3 linked regions of the Nothobranchius furzeri genome follow. The protein of the gene in region 2 binds, or shares a complex with, the protein of the main gene of each other region. Links are inferred from orthologs where the notes say so. Each region holds a gene or a part of one and is shown on either strand. Other genes may lie near its edges. The genes, in order: mad2l1bp, mad2l1 and mad1l1.

Region 1 (4,117 bases), on a different chromosome or scaffold from region 2:
TAGCTTCTTACAGGCGCCGGGGTCAGTAGACAGGGCAATCACTTGCTTTTTTACCCGCGTTGGGACTTTAAACTGCATCTTAGGGCGGAACCAGTCCACACCACAATCCCTGTGGGCCAGCGCCAACACTGTGGTGGGCATTAAGCGAACGGGTTTGGTGTCGGACAAAAGGTCGGCGACAAAAAGAGTGCGGAACAGTTGCCTTAAGCATGACGACACTCGTAGAGGCTGACTTCCATCGGCCAGTACCAGGGCCTCCATGTTGATCTCGTATATCTCCTTGGGGAGGATGACCGAGCTGCCCATCAGCAGTAAAACACGGGGGATCCTGCTCAAGGAAAACAGCACCTCCAGTCGCTGCAGCACCTCCTCCATCTCCTGGAGAGTCTGATGGCATTTACGCCGGTCCTTATTGGCAGACTGTGCGAGCCTCCGACTCACTGCATCTTTATCCTGGGAAGCAGAACGTCCCAAGCACTGTTGGTTAATCTCAAATCTACAATAAATTCACCTGACAGTGAGACATTACATTTATGTATTACCTGTGCCGTAGTATGCAGCTTCTTCTGGGAATAGACCAGCTGGTCGTATGTCATGGGTAGCTGTTGTCTCTGATAGAGAATGCATTTGAGGATTTCGCTGACGAAACGATAGCAGCTGTTCTGAGTTACGGCTCCAGGGAAGGCCACGTCCACACAGCCTTCTTCCCGTGCTCGTCTCACCACCTCGGCATCATTTTCCTCTGTGTTAACTTGCTGATTGTTGGCAGTCTGATCGAAATCCGGCTCAGAAGGGTCCTCTTGTGCATTATCTGTCCAGAACCAGAATAAAGTTATTACAGAGCGTAATGGACCCGTCACGGTCAACGTTAATGAAATGTATCAGAGCCATTATTCAGATAAACCTGATGAGCTCACTCGTCTCAAAAACTAACATGAGGAGTGAAATCAGGCTGTGGAGGAAGATTACTTTTGATTCTAATCAGATCAAATCACTTACAGAGTCGCATCTTATTGAGATTTATGAGACCTGTGCTTCAGCAGGACTCAAATCTTTTAAATCACACAATCACAAGACCCAACACACCACCACATTGTGCTGACTCATCTCCACTAAGGGAGTTGATCTTAAATGCTGAACTCTTTCTGCAACCAGTGTCAGAAATGTGTACGAGTGTCCTTCCTTTAACTTACTCCAGTCAGGAGGAGCAGAGTCATGCAGCGGGACACCTTTAAACCCCACAGGAAGTGCTGTGTCAGCCATGAAAAAGGAGTTACATCAATGTGACAGATTTCAAAAGAATCTGCATGAGCAATTTTCAATCCTCTTTGTGGCTTTTGAGTCACAAATGTTTCCAAATGCGATTCAAGGAAAAATGGTGCAAGATGTTTGTTTTTGCTACTAAAAAGTCAAGATGAATATGCAAATGTTAACATTTAACAAGTCACATTTAACTGAGTTTTGCAATTGTGGTTTGCAATGCACGTGGCAATTTTTTCCTAAATAAAATGTTGAACTGCATCACATGACACAATTAAAAATCTGATATTTAATTCTTAGTAAAAAATGTGCAAAAAAGTTTTTTAGATTTGAAAACTGACCATCTGTTGGTAAATATCCTTACAATTTTTGGCATCTTTAAAAGTAAACCAGGAATCTAAAAACCACATTTTAGCAAAAACAACATCTTACAATAAATGCATTATTTATTTCTTCATTTAAATAATTCCAAAGTTTACATAAAAGGAAAACTAGGTCCACTAATTCTTGATGTTGACTCTTTTCTCTAGTTTTATTTTTAACATTTAGGTAACCAATAATGAAAAGAGCCTTAAATGAACATAAATGCGTCAGGTGTAACCACGCAGACTGATGGATGACACGTAAGCTGAGGTAATGCAAATTAAAGAGAAAGAACATTGCAAACACAGCTTAAGGGACTTTTGAGGTAAACATCTTATTTCAAATGAGACGATCCTTAAAAATAATCTAACTACAACAACCGTGCTGAAAATTCAACGGTTCTACTTGGTGCTTCTCATGTTGTAGTTTTAATATTTAACCCTAACCCTAACTGGTTTAGTGAAATAATCATACTTTAACAACTTGTATCTTTCTAAACATCTTGTTTTATGTTTCTCTTGTTCTGAAATTACCCGATCCATCTAGCCGTGATCACATGTATATTTTATTGGCGTTATTGGGCACATCTAATGTGGTCAGTTGCATTTAGTTTTGTCCACAAGCAATAATTTGAAATATTATGTTGACATCTGACATCATCAGGCGTTACCTACTGATCAAACTGACCGGCACAAGCTTATTTTAAGTTGATCAGGAAACAGTTTGGGTATGAAACCAAATATAGCTGCACATTAGCCTAAACGGATCAAAAGCAGGAAAGTAAGCTAACTCTATGCTACCTGCCTTGAGACGTGGTTGTGGGAACAGCAGCATTTTCTTTGGCTTCAGTAGAACTCCCTCTGCGTTGTTCTGGACACTCTTCTCTTATTTTACCATCATTTTTCGTCTCTGAACATGTGTCGCTGGCATCAGACGGGAGTCGTTCAGCTCTTCCCTCTGGCTGGCTCCATGAACTGGAGACGTTGGAGACACTTTCCGCACTGCCGCCTAAAGGCGTTATTTCGGGTTCTCCATCAACGCTAACATCCTTCTGTGGTGAAAACGAGAGCCGTCCCTTTATCCCGCCACCCGTGGTGTCAACAGCGGTCTCCGTTTCTGTGGCCGCCGCCGAGACTGATGTAGGTTTTGAACAAGTAGAATTATCTGCCATGTTTTATTTTTGAAAGTCCGCGCCGGTGTTTTCTCGCACTGCATCATGGGAAATCCAATAGATGTCGCATTCAAGCTACGTAGCACAAAATCGGAAAAAATAAGCTTCCCAACGCCACTCTGGTGTTCTTACAATAATTTAACTATTCTTGTTTCATTTATTTTACTTCTCAAGAAACGATTTATATCATCATCATATTTTGGGTTCACACAAAACGTTTGTTGTTATTTGACAGCCCTTCTGTTTCTGGTAGCAGCTGCAAGGACTTATAATGCCTTTTTAACCTATGAATTGTGAATGCAGGACATTTCAGATATTTGTTTTTTGCACACTACAGATTCAACCACGTGTAATATTACCAAACGACAGTTTCGTCAATTGGAAACCAAACGTTTTTGTTATAAGTAAATATTTATGAAGTGATGTATTGTCTGATCTTGCCCAAGGCACATTTAAACGGAGAACGTGCTTGAGACACCCTCTAGTGGACAGTTTATGCACTGCATCGACAACGTGAGGATCAGTTCCAGGTGTGATGATTAGATTAGGTGGTAACAAACAAGGACAAGGTTTGCTTAAAACTCTAGCAACGGGACGTTGGCTCTTCGTCTGTCTGGTTTGATTAATAATGTCTTCAGTTCAGGTCGCGGTGAGAGTGCGCCCTTTGAACAAAAGGTCAGTAGAACAGAGTGACTTATTATTTTAACAGGAAAACAGAAAACAAACTTTTGCACGGCTTGTTGCAGAGAAAAACAGTTGTCATCAAAGGTGATTGTGCATATGAAGGAGAACACCGCATCCATTCATAAGGTAGGCTAGACCGTCACAGAATGAATTCTACTTGAGTTCATTTGAGTGATTTTTTTTTTATTTCAGCCTTCTTCTTTACGTGGAGACAAGTTGAAGGACAGAGGCAAAATCTTTTCTTTTGACTTCTCTTTTGACTCAACTGACAGTAAAAGCTCCACGTTTGCTTCCCAGGAGAAGGTGCTGTCTGTGTTTCATCTGTTTAACTCTTATTTGCACCAGTGTTGAACCACTTCTTGCATTTTATTTCTATAAATGTGTAAAATGGATATTTTACACCTGTTTCAGATTTTCCAGGACTTGGGATCTGATGTAATAAAAGCAGCTTTTGAAGGTTTCAACGTCTGCTTGTTTGCATATGGCCAAACGGGCTCAGGGAAAACTTACACCATGATGGGACATAAGGTAAGTAAAATACTTGCAATATGCATGCTGAACACTGCAGCGTAACGGCAATATTTACGACTTCACAACAATCAGTGCTGTATGCATACCTCTTCTATTATACCTCCGTCT
Region 2 (4,052 bases):
AAAAAAAAACTTTCGACATTGAGATGTTTTGGTGCAGATAATGTCTTATTTCGAGGCTGCACCATGGGTGCCTGTCCGCTCCCGTTATATGGATATACACTGATGGCGATTCGCTAATGGATCTAAATACCCCGGGGAATCCAAGCAGCACCAAAGTTGTCAGCGTGAGTAAACAAACGTACTGCATGCTAGAATTAAGTCCGGGTTGCAATAAACGGGAGTTTTCCTTTAAGCACATAAGCGTGAATACACAACTACGTGCCGGATTTGGTATGCTAATTAAGTTGGGCTGTGAAGCACCTCCCAAATTTGATGTTTATGTTTTTGTTTATTTATTTGGCAGACAAAACTTGGATCGGAGACAACTCGCGTGGGAAATTGCAATGTAGCCATGCGGCAGCTTCTTCTGTTTGTCTGGGAAGGGGAGGCTGCTTTACGGCATCTGGATGTCGTGCGTGTCGGTGTACTTGAAGAAGGCTGTGTATAATAGTCTATAATATCGATACCACTTTTAGTATCAATTTATATCTAGGTATCGATTTTTTTGACAACACCTGTCTAGCTTGGGGGACATAATACAAGAGGTGGGACATGTCATGATTATCTGGTCATTTTGTTTTTCTTGCCCAGGTGAAAACAACATGAGCTCATTTGAAGGCATGAATACGTCCACCACAGTAGGTGATGCTGGCGTGGGTCATACAGCAGAGTTATTACAGTTAGAAAGGCAAACATGGCTGAAATCACTGATTAGGGAAAGACAGTAGCAGATGGTAGTTTCTGAGGCCTTTTGGCCGCTGCAGGCACCCATACCTGTTATCTGGTTTTGGAGTGGGTCGGTTCTCAGCTCCACATAAACAGAAATAACGGACGGCGGTAAGCTTACCGAAACATTTGTAGCTAGCATGGCCGCGGGTTGGCACATGCAGATGTAAGGTGGCGTCTCTAAGCTCGTCTCAGAGCGAACGGTTTCTCCGTGGCCATTACAACATTACTGCTTCACAACTGGGTTTGGTACGCTACAGTAGAGACCCCAAGCTGCCTAGATTCAACAACAAGGTAAATGTGGGTGGAGCCTAAAGCTCAAAGAACAGAGGAGCATTCCCTCGAGTCAAACACACCTCTGACCTCTGTTTGGGCACTCTTTGAGGACGCATAAGCTCCAGTCGGAGTTGGTCGGTCAGCTAATTACCTTTGAGCTGAGACACCACGTTGGTCAGGTAGTTCTTCAGCTTGGAGTCAGTGGTGACCTGCAGACTCATGTCATAGTGTGTGACTCTGGAGAACGTCTCTGGAGGATAGATGCCCCGCTGATACAAGATGCTGTTGATGCCAAAGGCTGAGGAGAACAGAGGGCAGTTTCACGTCATGTTTTAGAACACAAGAACCCTTCATTACAGGAATAAGACGATCTAATGAGGGGGAAATGTTTCCTGTTAATCACATCTGCACATCTCTGATTCAAGCAGTCAAACTAAAGCTTGTCTACTCATCATCTGTGCTGCAAAGCGAGTCACCTATGACTCATGTCAGTGTAAAGAGTTTCTGCAGAACGAAGACCGACGTGTTTGTATACCATGGTGGTTGTGACTAGAAATATGGGCCATTCCCATCTGTACCGGGTCGGCCCGGGTAGCGTAGGTTGTTTACATATCTGGGTGGCCTGGTATGTTTCCGGGCCAACCAAGGCTCATTCTCAGCCCTCTTCTCGAGGGGGTCTGCTTCAGGCCGACCAGGGCCAACACACCCACTGCTGACAGCAAATTCACACCTTCCATTAGAGCAAGCCTCTGATTGGTGGGTAGAATCAGCCCACATGGGCTTAAGGCAAGGATGTGTGGAATCAACCGGGCCAGGCTGGGGCCGACTGGGGCTACCCGGCCTGGTACAGATGGGAATGGCCCAATAGAAAACTGATATAAGGGGGCCACTCCCCGTTTTACTTTAGGGATTTTTTAGTCATATTTTAAGTTTTCCTGCCTTCTTATTTTATGCTAAACTTTTAAAATCTTTGTGAACAAACAAAACATTTGTACGTTGTATTTGCTGCACCTGAGTGTGTGTGTGTGTGTGTGAGCAGAGATTGGTTTAGAATAGGAAGAGTCAAGTATGCAATATTTAAATATGAAGAGTAAAGAATCTTCAGTGTGAAGCAACTCCATCCTGGACCAAACATCGTCCATTAAACGGGTAAATGTAGCTTTCACAAAGATTGCTAGGAATATACACAAGTTGTAGAATAAGAGCACGATATATTTAACTGATGTCGCTCTTCTAATCGATTCGGCATACAAGCCACACAAGAACAGTGCAGTTTTACCTGTAAACGGAGCTCTTTTTCGTCTTTCAACGGGATTTCTGCACCAGCGGAGCGGACTGCCTCCAACACGTTCAACTGACGTTAAAGTTACACCAAATGCTAAATATCAGAAACGCTACCTGTAAGAGCACCGACCTGTTTAAAAACCTTCAGGCAACACGTTTGTATCCCTTTACCAGACTTTAGCTTGCAACGCTGGGTGAGCCACACCGAGGCCCGCTAGCATGCTAGCTGCGCGTCGTGTCAACGGCGTTCAAAAGGCGGAACAGAGACATGAACACTCACAGAAGAAGTCGGCCACTAGTTCTGTACTTCCTTTCAGAGTGATTCCCTTCAGCGTGCTGGTCATCTTTCCAACTGCTACTGGTTGGCTTTCCTCGAGGAAGCTTTGTGCTGATTCTATGTACGACTCAACTACCCGCCGTCTACTTTGAAAATGTGTCAGCTGGACACTACGCGCATGCGCGTTTTTGTGCCGATCACGCCCTAGTGCTGCGTTTACATCTGTATGCCCCTAGAGGGCAGTGTAGATAAGTGTAACCGTAGAGCCATCCGCTTTCTGCATCCGCTCATCCACACAGGGTCACGTCTGCAACCAAAGCCCAGATGGGAGGAGGACAATGGATGGATGGTTAATCCTTGTATCTAGTTTTTATTGTATGTAAGTTATTTTATTTTAACTTATAAAGTGTTTTTCCCATGAAGTCACCGGCTTATTGTCTGACCTCCGTCTTTTTATAAGAGAGTTTAAATGACTGCCTGAACACAACAGCTAAAGCGTGTGAGGACAAAAGCAGGTCCTGAGGTGGATTTTCCTGCACCGACTCTTTAAACAGCTGAACCTTGTGACAGGAGAATTATAACACTGTAAAGACTCAAACCAACAAGTGACTAAATAAAATAGTTGTAAATGGTTGTTATGAAGGCCGGATTAAATAATCTGCACCTCTCTCCCTAGTTTCTACGGCAGAGAAAGAGTTTAGCCAGAAGGGAGTAGACCTTGTGCTGACTTATGGCATAGAGTGTGAGGAAATAACGATCTTTCCACATAATCCAGTCCTCTCGGACCACTTTCTGATAACCTTTGAGTTGAGTTCTCGAGACATGAAAGTAAATTTCACTATAGTCGGTCTCTATCTGACAACGCAGTTGCGTCTTTTAAATCAACTGTTCCATCTTTACTGTCCTCAGCATCTCAGAGGCATGTAGCACAGGGCAATATTTTCATTTCTAGCCCCTCACAAATTGATACCTTAGTTCATCATGTTACTTCCTCTTTACGTGTGGCATTAGATGATGTTGCCCCTTTAAAAAAGAAGGTAATTAGGGACAGGAAGTTGGCTCCCTGGTTTAATTCTCATTTACGAGCTTTAAAACAAAACTCTAGGAAATTGGAGAGAACATGGCGCTCTACGCACCATGAGGAGGCCTACCTGTCCTGGAAAAATAGTCTTGTGCTTTATAAAAATAAGCTTAGACAAACTAGAACTGCTTATATTTCATAGCTAATTGAAGAGAATAAGAATAATCCTACATTTCTTTTCAGTACAGTTGCTAAACTTACACAGAATCATAGCTCTGAGCCATCTATTCCCTTAGCCCTCAGCAGCAATGACTTCATGGGATTTTTTACAAGTAAAATTAATTCTATTAGAAACAAAATCTTTAGCATCCTCCCTAATGCGATTTCTTCTTCCTCAGTAAGTGAGGCAGCATCAGAGGTAACAGTAGA
Region 3 (3,592 bases), on a different chromosome or scaffold from region 2:
CAAAATCCACAAAACATATGTAGATTGGTTGGGCAAATTCCCACGCACCTTCCAGGATCCCCCTAAGGTTATAGAGCTGGTCCAGTGTTTCACAGACATGTAAGTGTTCCAGCAAAAACTAAATAATCCATTGGTGGCTTCATAACAAATAACTGTCTCATGAAATACAGTTTGTTTAGCTAAAATACTCACCTCATTAAGATAAACCAACTCATGTAGGTGAGAAAACATAGGAGTGAAAACCTGGTCAGTTTACCTACTGATGTGAAAATATCTACAGAAGGAAAGAGATTTGTTTGATAATGTTCACGACTGAAGTGTCTGCAAGCTTTCAGGGAAGACAAAAGCCAATCTCTCCTTAACCAAGCACCAATGTGTGCAAATCTCGGGATGCAGCTTTAAGGATGACAAGAAAAAAATAAAATTTCATAATAAATTATGTTTCATAACCAGTTGAAAAAATGACTAAAGACAAACACATCCATTGCACTTCAAACATTTTCACACATTCCTGTTAAACTCGGTCATCTTCTAAAAAAGATTTTCACACCAACCTTGAATAAATCCTTCAGAAAATCTATGAGTGATATGAAGTGTGAATGTAGCAGGTAATCTTTTGAAGAATTACACAAAATGGAAAAAAAATGGCCAAAATGTCCCAGTGAAATTGGAGGTTTTGCTTTCAGGCAACCTTGATTGGTTACTAAAAGGTCAACTAGACAGTCCTTTCTATTTAGGTAATTTAGTGTTAGTTTTAATGTAGAACGCTGGTTATTTAATATGACACAAGGTGGTGCTTTAGATGCATTTTGTCAAGAAAAAGAAAAAGAAATACAGCAGAAAAGGACGGCAGAGCAGCCAAATGGTGTGTGGGTGTGGGGTGGGAAAAGACAGCCACATTTTGGAAGACAAATTGGCCAACAGACGTTCACCAATGACCTGCCCAATTTCATATTTAACCCTGCCATAACTACACGCCCTTGTTCTAACTGCCTGTCTTACACTAAACTATGGAGACAGGGGCCAGAGGAACCTGAAATATTAATGCAGCATTCCCAGCAGAAATAGGGTACTAAAACATTTTTAATACTCATGTGTTGCTGACTTTACCCCAGTGCTGTTTTCTCAGGTAGGCCACCTGAAACCCGCCCAACAACATTACCAGAGCAAGTCACCCCTAAATAAACTGTTGTGTTTATTGATAAATTAGTGTATCTAATTTAAAATTAAAATATTCAAGTTGAAGCTCCAAATTCAGCTTTAAACTGTCAAGTGTTGCGTCCTCTTTAGGCAAAAACTGTACAACATTGAATCTGAATCAGCCATTACTACTGGCTAAGAAGTGTCCTGTGATGTTACAGGTAGGGGTGTATATCTTACAACAACCAGTGTTTCCCCTAGGAATTTTTCCAGCTGTGGTGGTGGTGGGGTGGGGGGGATTATGACACGTCTCACCTTTATGTTAATATTGTTTTATTTGATGCACTCCATTTTGAACTGCACCAATCCAGCAACTTCTGCATTTTAATAACTAGTATTAAAGGTGAATACACTAATATTTGCACAAGAATAGTTTTTGTTATGAACTGTCAGTGACACACTTTGCGGGGGGGGGGGGGGGGGCATTTAATTTTTCTTGGTGTCAGGAAAAACATCTCCTTCTGTCCCCCTTTCAAATAATTTAAGATACCCGACGGAGCGGAGGCAGTGACCAACGCATGCACAAGCCGTTTTCAGCTCTGTCTTGTCAAATACACCACGTACGTTACGAAAAACGTAACTTTAAATATTCAACCGAAAAAGAGGCGAGCTGAAGAAAACCTAGGGAGTACCGAAGAAACTTGAGCAACAGTGAAGCAAGCACAGAGAGATCTGTTACTGTCTGTGTGTGTGGGCCGGAGCAGTTTTGTGTGTAGGGAGGGGCGGGCACTCCATGTGACTGGCCAATCACAGAGCGTGAAGGCAGTCAGTTACCCAATGAGGATTTTTCTTCAGCACAATTACAGATATTTATGAGTTTTACTCCTTTCATGCTCGTATTCATCAAAAATGCTTTATCCGCGGCTCATCCCTAGCTGTAACCACCCTGCCCTGCCTCCTCCTCCTTGCTGCCTGCCAGCTGTGATCACAAGCAACAACAGAGTAGTTCCCGCTGCTTCTTCGGGAAACAGCAAAAACAAAAATAATAATAATTTAATAAATAAATAAAAATAAATAAATCTATAAAACAGGATCTTGCAGGCGTGGCGCTGGGATTTCAGTCATGGCGGGCCGCCACGGCTACGCCTATGTAAGGGAAACACTGACAACTCACGATTTAATTTGATTCCAATTCTCAGGGTGACATTCAGAATCGATTCTTGATTTAAATTAATTAATTAATTTAATTAATGAATTAAAATTCACAATCAATACTCTTAAGTAACAAAGTGTGTAAGTTAGAAGTCTGCCAGGTGTCGCTGATGTATTGAGCACTGAATGTGATGAAGGAGTGGGTTGCTCTGGAAGTCCACCCATCACTTGCTAGAATGATCAGTACGGAAGCCGTTTACTGGCAAACAGTATGGGCAGCTAATAAGCTAGGACATTTTGAGAAAATGCCTTCTTAATTTTGGATCTGTTAGGATGCATTGCGTAGTGGCTGCTTAAAGTTGGGACACCATGGACAAACTCCAGTCAGAGAATCCTTTATCAGTTCTAGTTTGATGAACTAAACAAGTCATGAAAGAAAGAAAGAAAGAAAGAAAGAAAGAAAGAAAGAAAGAAAGAAAGAAAGAAAGAAAGAAAGAAAGAAAGAAAGAGAAAAATTCATCATTCAACATCAAGCGTGTTATCGTAAAACATCACAAATGAGGAGGAGGATTCCTGTCACTCCGTGTAAAATACTTGTATCACTTTGCCTTTGATCAGCTACACATCATTCAACAGACTGCATGGCCGTGTGTCCAATGGGCAAGCAGCACAAACCATTGGGCTAAGACAATACAACACGCTGAATTTCTCTGATATGTGATCGTAGTAATCCACATGTCCTTCGTAGCATACCAAAGCACTCTTAACACACCACAGGAAAATTGTATACCTCATTTGCTTATTTTCAAAGCTATTACGATAATCAGGAGCATCCTTATGATTGTTCAAAGGAGAGAATCAAATAAAAAATCAGCATAATGTCTTTGCGTGTGAACCAGGACTTACAAGTTTATGCTCACAGTACATAAGTTTAGAGTTATTTTAGTTAGAGTGTTTATGAATACCTCTCAGAGTGTTGAACTTACCCAGAACTTCTTCTGATGGAGGTAAATTAAGGTTGAGGCTGGAGGTTATGTAGGAGTCACCTTGTGAAAGACCTACTGCGCCTCCATCCTGCAAGGAACGCACAAGTTCCCTGAGCCGTGTCACTTCCTCTCGAAGTACCTCCACATCCTGTTGGCGCTGTTGCTTAGCAGCAGCAGTGGGGTTCATTTTCAGGTGAACTACGCGGGTCTTGACTGGATCATAGTCTCCCTGAGACACACACAGACACAGAAATCAATCAACAATATAGATTTCCTTTACAGCCCTTTAGCTCGGCTTTATTATTTTTTCTTCC

Evidence for each region.
Region 1: the proteins of mad2l1 (region 2) and mad2l1bp are in contact, whole or in part, in a crystal structure (PDB 2QYF), measured with the Homo sapiens proteins. The link is inferred for Nothobranchius furzeri from reciprocal best matches to the Homo sapiens genes MAD2L1 and MAD2L1BP. Residues at the interface, in NP_002349.1 of Homo sapiens: Tyr33, Arg45, Thr52, Leu54, Lys122, Asp126, Glu127, Arg129, Ser130, Arg133, Gln134, Thr136, Ala137, Thr138, Thr140, Phe141, Leu142, Leu144, Glu179, Val181, Arg182, Leu183, Arg184, Tyr199, Asp205; in NP_055443.1 of Homo sapiens: Pro61, His79, Tyr82, Gln83, Gln85, Pro88, Leu89, Pro90, Gln93, His96, Ala185, Leu187, Arg188, Phe191, Arg192, Phe195, Asp198, Ala199, Phe200, Ser201, Glu202, Leu203, Gln204, Ala205.
Region 3: the proteins of mad2l1 (region 2) and mad1l1 are in contact, whole or in part, in a crystal structure (PDB 1GO4), measured with the Homo sapiens proteins. The link is inferred for Nothobranchius furzeri from reciprocal best matches to the Homo sapiens genes MAD2L1 and MAD1L1. Residues at the interface, in NP_002349.1 of Homo sapiens: Tyr38, Leu61, Tyr64, Asn67, Val68, Trp75, Gln82, Lys83, Ser89, Ile91, Glu92, Ser93, Gly94, Arg99, Gln101, Ser150, Phe151, Asp152, Leu153, Leu154, Ile155, Tyr156, Thr157, Asp158, Lys159, Asp160, Leu161, Val163, Lys166, Trp167; in NP_001013858.1 of Homo sapiens: Glu527, Arg528, Ala530, Leu531, Gln532, Gly533, Asp534, Tyr535, Gln537, Ser538, Arg539, Thr540, Lys541, Val542, Leu543, His544, Met545, Ser546, Leu547, Asn548, Pro549, Thr550, Ala553, Arg554, Leu557.

Annotation. Positions count from the first base shown.
Region 1 is NC_091752.1:317,449-321,565, forward strand, and holds the start of mad2l1bp (MAD2L1-binding protein), read right to left. Parts: upstream 2,836-4,117; 5' UTR 2,795-2,835; coding exon 2,428-2,794; intron 812-2,427; coding exon 543-811; intron 454-542; coding exon 1-453. Other genes in the region: uncharacterized protein kif16bb, read left to right, coding at 3,423-3,469, 3,541-3,604, 3,671-3,781, 3,890-4,006. UniProt on the Homo sapiens protein: May function to silence the spindle checkpoint and allow mitosis to proceed through anaphase by binding MAD2L1 after it has become dissociated from the MAD2L1-CDC20 complex.
Region 2 is NC_091743.1:87,157,322-87,161,373, forward strand, and holds the start of mad2l1 (mitotic spindle assembly checkpoint protein MAD2A), read right to left. Parts: upstream 2,807-4,052; 5' UTR 2,670-2,806; coding exon 2,606-2,669; intron 1,340-2,605; coding exon 1,193-1,339; intron 1-1,192. UniProt on the Homo sapiens protein: Component of the spindle-assembly checkpoint that prevents the onset of anaphase until all chromosomes are properly aligned at the metaphase plate.
Region 3 is NC_091744.1:8,599,053-8,602,644, forward strand, and holds part of mad1l1 (mitotic spindle assembly checkpoint protein MAD1), read right to left. Parts: intron 3,508-3,592; coding exon 3,279-3,507; intron 1-3,278. UniProt on the Homo sapiens protein: Component of the spindle-assembly checkpoint that prevents the onset of anaphase until all chromosomes are properly aligned at the metaphase plate.